Drosophila melanogaster: one gene and its partner. The protein of the gene in region 1 purifies or fractionates together with the protein of each later gene. This does not show direct contact. Each region holds a gene or a part of one and is shown on either strand. Other genes may lie near its edges.

Evidence for each region.
Region 2: the proteins of CG13983 (region 1) and CG34132 purify together in Drosophila melanogaster (affinity purification with mass spectrometry, with the first as the bait; one large-scale study listed by BioGRID). This does not show direct contact.

The regions. Positions count from the first base shown.
Region 1 is NT_033779.5:6,262,984-6,266,710, forward strand, and holds CG13983 (uncharacterized protein), read right to left. Parts: upstream 1,508-3,727; 5' UTR 1,471-1,507; coding exon 1,377-1,470; intron 1,320-1,376; coding exon 652-1,319; 3' UTR 574-651; downstream 1-573.
Region 2 is NT_033779.5:7,883,670-7,886,809, reverse strand, and holds CG34132 (uncharacterized protein), read right to left. Parts: upstream 1,308-3,140; 5' UTR 1,162-1,307; coding exon 1,006-1,161; intron 934-1,005; coding exon 835-933; 3' UTR 701-834; downstream 1-700. Other genes in the region: small ribonucleoprotein particle protein SmE, read left to right, coding at 1,467-1,751; CG7102 (uncharacterized protein), read left to right, coding at 113-275, 340-502, 2,022-2,155, 2,229-2,899, 2,982-3,140.

The DNA of each region.
Region 1 (3,727 bases):
ACACAATATTTTGAGTCAAGTATTAATTATGCCCTATTACTAATCCAGGCGATCATAAGATAGATGTGGTCTCTGGGTCGCCTAACTGCCACATTTTCGGCACTCCAATTGAAATCCAACTTTGCAGCGAATAATTTCAAGTTGTCTAGCTCCGGAGTTTGCCCATTGAGAAAGTTTTCCGGGTGAAACAATAACTGCAGCTGCTCATCACGCCCAACTTCTGTCCCAGACTTCTAGATACCAGAACCCAATCCCACACCCCGCCCATCACCGGTGCCACCTGTCGTGGCGGAGAGCAACAGCTCCTCCTGGTTTTTGGCAGATCCTGGCTTACACCAGGTTGGGGAATTGCAAATAAATATTTCAACTGCAGTTGCAGATTATTTTAGTGCTACGGCAACTGGGAAAGTCGTAACAATGCAGAATGGCAGCAACTAAGGCAAACAGCTAGCCAGGTCCGGAGTAGCTCCTCTGGGGGGCAGCAACTTGGCTTAGATTTCTCCGGGGACCTATGATAAAGTGCTCCCCATAATGAAGACAAAATACGGAGATGCCGAGAGGAGCCAACTTTATGGGGTGTTTTTGGGCAAGGTGCCCGCTATTTATTCAGCCTCGCACAATTTCAATTTGTATCTGCTCGTATCCGTTCGATTACTTTCTGTTCAGATTGTAGTTCCTCAGATAGATGCCAGCGAGAACCTCCTGGATGCGGCGACGTCGCTTGTCCTGCATCAGTATGGAGACCAGATGCTTGGGACTCAATCCCCTGTTGCTCTGGCGATCCATGGCATCGATCTCGTCCTCGCTGATCACGTCCTCCTCGCGATCATCGTCAGCCTGGCTGATTGGTCCATCGGCCAGGGGAATCTCCGCATTTCCATCCTCGGCCGCGTTGACCACCTCGGAATCATCCTCGAAGAGACTTCCATCGGCCAGGTCGTCCAGGTTGAGGCCCTGCAGCAAATCGGAAATGGTGGGCACGAAGGCGCTGCGCCGTGAGCTAGTGGAGTTGGAGCTGTTAGAGCTGGCGGGCAGGTAGATGCCCTGCATGTTGTTGGGGTTGATGATCAGGTAGGTGGGGCCTCCTCCCACAGTGTTCCAGTCCATGCCGGGAAACGGTGGCGGAGGACGGTTTTGAGGTGGTGGTGGTGGGTAGTACGGGTAGTAGGGATAGTTGGGGTTGTGGTGGTGGTGTCTATCCGATTCCTGATTCGAGCTGGGCTGCTGCACTATGATGATGGGCTGCTGGGAGTTGCGGTGGCTCTCCTGGTCGCCGCGCTTGATGTTCCACAGCAGGCGAGGAACGATCTTGGAGAAGGCTGTCCAGAGACGAGTGTTGGATGAGTGTCCTCTGGGTTTTATTCATATTGACTTACCATTTTCCTTTCTGTTCTTGCCGTTGGAGGCCTGCTGGGCTGCACAAAAGGCAACCAGAGTGGCGAGGAGAATCAAGACGCTCAGGGTTCTCATGGTATGTCAATCGATAGCTGCTGGAGATGACTGTGCTCATCCACTGGCTATCTATTGCTATTTATACAAAAGAACTTCTTCTGCTGAAAGTTCAGTGCGAATTTCACAACCTAACTGGGTAACTGGGCATACTCGGAATTTATTCATATCAGCTCGTAAATCAACTTTGGCCCAACGCACTCCTGCCTCACGTTTATTACACTCGTAAAGTGAGTCTTTTGAATGGATTCACGGGTTTTCTTTCGCCCTCGGCCGCTTTCATGATCGATTTAGCACTAAGTAGTCTCCTACAGTTTATTTTAAATGTTTGTACTTTCAGTGCCTCTGGGCGCTAATGTGTTTAGTTTATAGTCGTCGTCGACGTAGATATTTATGATCTGTGTACAAAGGCCGGCAGATTGCCGATCGGATCTTTGCGAACTGAATTAGAGGACATTAGCCCCAACATTTGAATCATTGAACTTGGGAAGAGTTTAGAAAGCCAGTGGTCTCGTTTCCAAAAATATAAATAGATGACTAGTGCTGAGCTCTAGGTATAATAAAAATAAAAGCATGTCTCTCCTCCTACGGATGCCATTTGATTCACCATAATAAACCCATTTCCTGTTTTCGGACTGGGCAAACAGGGCCAATGTTAAAAGAGCAAATACTATCTGAACGAATATCCGTTACCAGAGGCGGTAAAAGTAAAAGTTGAGACCATTTCATCCTGTGCAATCAAAGGCCAAAGACAACAATGAGTCCTGTGTATAGCACACGAGGTAAATATTATTTAAGAAATCAAAACACGTAGCCTACACAAAGTACAAATCGCACTCAATCAAAATCACCTCAAGACCGCACACAGTTCCAAAGCTTCCCAGATGGAATCCCGCCTTTCAGACGGAGCACTTCGAGTAGCAGTCGTAAGTAAAAATAAATAAGAGGCCACAGGACTTCAGCTGGAGCAGAGGGGCATCGGCAAACAGCAACAGGAGCGAAAACAGAGGACCCAAAACCCAGCACAGAAAACTGTCATGTACGAGGATTTAGCAGATTTAAATTCTATTAGGCCGGGCCAGAAAAGCTGAAGGGAGGAAAGTGGGAAAATAGCTGAAGAAAAACTGTGCGCAATCTTTATGCTCCCACAGTCCATGGAAATCACTTTGAGAAACTGACATTTAATATTGACCACAGGCCGTTGGACAAGAGATTCTGTTGGTCGTGCCGTCTGGTCTTCAACTCGTACATATCGGCTTTTCTATGAAATGAATGGAAATTTATTTAGAGCTTTCAATACTGGCTAATAGAGAACTAACTAACTGAGGAGCCAGTGCAGCCTTAAATTAAATTACTTCTCTGTCAATGAGAAGGTCTACAGTATTAATTGCACAACAATTATAGGATAGCTAGTCTGAGTTCTCAGTATTCAGATTTACGTAAGACATTGAAGGTTGTGGTAATATAACTTTTAAATATGCTTTAATTTTTAACTTCTAGCTAACATTATCTAATCAGTATGTATCCTTTGTAGAAAAGAGGTCGTCATCCTCCTTATTATATCCTTTAAAAAGATTTACATCACTTTAAACTCATCAACTCATCATGATGGCCAAGCATTACGCAGCCCCTATTAAAAATGATTTGGGCCAAAGCGGCGTCATTAAATGGACGTTGTGAGATAATTTGGGCCATCAAAGCCTAAAACCCAATGGTGTCCAAGTTGGAGGGTGGTTATCCTTGAGGCCTCGCAGCTCCGGCCACTTAGCCTACATTTGGAACGGCCTGTGTGCAAACATTTATCGATTGCCGTGACAATCCAATTCGTTATGCTGAAATCTACGGGCTTCCACAGGCGGTCAGTCCGCCAGTTTTAGAGGCACTGGAGGAGGGCTTTGTGCGGGGAGCTCTCTGTTCGGGCAAATACAAACGGCTACAAACGGCAAAAGAGACTGCATCTGGCTCAGCAGGATGGAGTCGGCCCCGTGTACCACCTCACTGGCACAAATTTGCATCTGCTCTAGCATTTTTAGGTAAATTGACAGTTAAGACGGAACTGGACCATCCCCAGTTCAAATAGTGGGCGAAGCAAAGCTTTTTGCCGCAGAAGGACGAGTGTTTTTGTGGTGACTTTGCCAATGCGGGGGGACCGAAGAACTCTCTGCTGCGTTTTGAGCTTAATTAAAGTTGTTGTGGTTTCGGCCAGCATCCAGTCGTGTTAATCTCCCTCATGCTCCAATGGCTGCAGATTGGGATAGGTGAAGGATTCCCTAAAATT
Region 2 (3,140 bases), 1.6 Mb from region 1:
CTACGGTTGCCTTTTTCGGAATCTTACAATGTTGCGTGCTGGAATCCCGGGTATTCCAGTTGGTCACTTAATTAATTTGTCTTGCCTTTCCATTCACTCAATTCGATTTCAGGTGCAAGAGCTTCAAGACTGCGAAGAGAGGTGAAGTGTGTCGAATTCCCGGATGCACAGTATCGCCAGCAGCCCCAGGAGCTTCAACTCCGACCACCATACGATTACCACACGTGAATCCGGAACTATTCAGGCAGTTCATCTTGTACGTTTACACCGCAAAGGTAAGAAAACTACTTATTAGTAACATCTAACATAATAAAATTATAACCAAAATTCATTTTTCAGTTGGTTCTCCAGGACTCGCAAGTATTTCAAATGATGATATTGGCACAGGATATCGGTGTGGTTGAGCTACGAACTGCCTGCGAGGATCACGTTATATCGACATTGTCGGTGGATAATGCCTGCACATTTTTAACCGCCGTTATGGATATACACGAAAAAGCAGGTTAGTAATATTGAGTAGCTCTTTTAGAAAATCACACCTTTAAAAGTAAGCAATTATGTGAAGTTGCATATTCGCGCCAAAACACTTTATACATTCTACATAATATGCTATGTCAAATGTATTGAGACTAACCATTCTGAAAGTTTTGGTATTTTTTGTACCACATCACATATCGATAAGAAAAAACATATGCACGTTGTGTTATCAGAATCACGTAACACGCAATGCATGTTTTTATTGCATTATCAAACTTTAGATATAACAACTAATCAATAGCTGGCAGATATAGTTAGTCCCAAGCTGCTCCAAAATGCAGAAGCCGATTCGTGTGTTTAGAACTTGGATTGTTCACGTTGTATTCTTTGGCCGTACACCCGAGAAATGAGGTTCCACGAGTCCATAAACCGGTCCATGCACATGGAAATGCATTTCTAAATTGGATATTAATGAAATACTATTTAAATACATATTCTATAGTGCAAAATAAGATATGTATAGCTTGCCTGTTCGGACGAATCGAGGGAAGTTCCCGGCTTATTGACACATTTTTTGAAGCACTTTTCGGTCATTTGCGTGAGCAATTCCTGGGCATTCGCAACAGCAATCTGTTGCTTAACCTGGTCCATAAGTTCACCTTTGTCCACATTAGCCATAGCCATTTGTTTGGTTTTCTTTATAAACTATAGTTTAATTCAGCTATGAATAAATGGCAACAACTTCTGCCCAACCACAAAAACTTAACAGTGCGATTGTGATAGTGTTTCTATCGATATGGTTATGCTACCAGAGGATTTACCATTTTGGTATCTTTAGGCTGGTCGATAGTTCGGTAGGCCGCGATTATGTGTGACCATCTGTGCTGTGCCATCGATATTTCTGCCTATCGCCTGGACGAAAAGAAGACGCCGGCAAAAAGAAGCGAAAATTTGTTTAACTCAAATTAAGTCGTCGGAAATCAGCAAAAATGTCGTTCAAAGGAAATCCCAAGGTGCAGAAGGTGATGGTGCAGCCCATCAACCTGATCTTCCGTTACCTGCAGAACCGGTCCCGCGTGCAAGTTTGGTTATACGAGAACATATCGCTGCGCATCGAGGGCCACATTGTGGGATTCGATGAGTACATGAATCTGGTGCTGGACGACGCCGAGGAAGTCTATGTGAAGACCCGGCAGCGCCGCAACCTCGGGAGGATCATGCTCAAGGGCGACAACATCACGCTCATACAGAACGTCAGTCCCACGAAGGACTAGGCGACTCAGCGGCCATCCTGCGAATCCTTCGAATTCCACCTGCAAACGCTGAACGCCCTTAATATAAGTAAAATAAATGTAAAGCCGATATCTGAAGACGAATGTTGAAATAAATGGTAGACTTTCTGTAATCAAGTGTTTCTAATGGGTAAGGTAGCAAATACGATCCGATTTCAGGACATATAGAATAGGATGCTGTCTCAAGGTAAAAGCCGTTGAGTGTCTTTAAAAAACAAGGAATTAATTTTAAACTTTCCCTTTAAATTTCAGGTGCCAAATGCGCTGCCTCGTTTATGGAACGCTGCATCATCTACATAGGGGAAAATGCAAATGAGTGCGTTAAGACTAATGCCTTCCTTACTTTAACAAAGGATGCCATTATTAAGATTATTTCCTCAGACTATGTAAGAGTTTATAATGAATAACCACTCAATTTACTGAATTTCTTTAATTACCAAAACTGTTAACTACCAATAGTTCTGCTTGGAAGAGGAGGAAGTGTGGCGCTGCGTTTTATCCTGGGCCAAATACCAGGCAGGAGTCACCCAACCCACTGCACATTGGACTGAGGAGGAGCGTGCTCGTGTCTGCCAACACTTAAGCGGTGTAATGGGTCACGTGCGTCTGCTTCTCATCGATAGCCAAGTTTTCGCGGAGGAAGTGGAACCTACAGGAGCTGTACCTATGGAACTATCCCTAGAACGATATCGCTATGCCGCTTTGCATGCCAATAAGATGATGGATAACGATAAGAGACTTCAGCCCCGCCTAGCTGTAGCGGTCAACATGTTTCCCGGATCCCAAATCCTGAAGAATGACAATCTGGCACTACAGACTGTTCTCAATAATTGGGTTGGAGTGGGCAAGCAATCCTGGAGATTAGTTTTCCGAGCGTCCACTCATGGCTACGATTCTGGAGCCTTTCATCGTTATTGCGACGGCGTGGCTCCTTGCATGGTTATTGGCTTGGGATCGCATGGAGAGATCAGTGGTGGTTATACGGATGTGGCGTGGGCCAAAACAAGCCGAAAGGGGGGATATGTTCAGTCCGAGCGAGCCTTCCTCTTTGCCTTGAATCCAGCCAATGGGGAACAGCCGGTCAAGTTTGATATTGTAAAGAAACCATATGCCATTTGCTATCATCCTGAGTAAGTGATGTCTAAAATAATCTTATATATTACATTATGTTTAGGAATTCGTACTGATTACCATGTCTGCTTTCCCCTTTAGTTGCGGTCCCATTTTTGGTGCTGGAGCCGATCTGCTCATTTCCAGCAACTGTAATACAAACATGGACTCATACTCGAATCTTCCGCATTCCTACGACGGAACCAACGCTGCTCACCTGACACTTTTCGGGGACTATAACTTTACCATCACCGACTATGA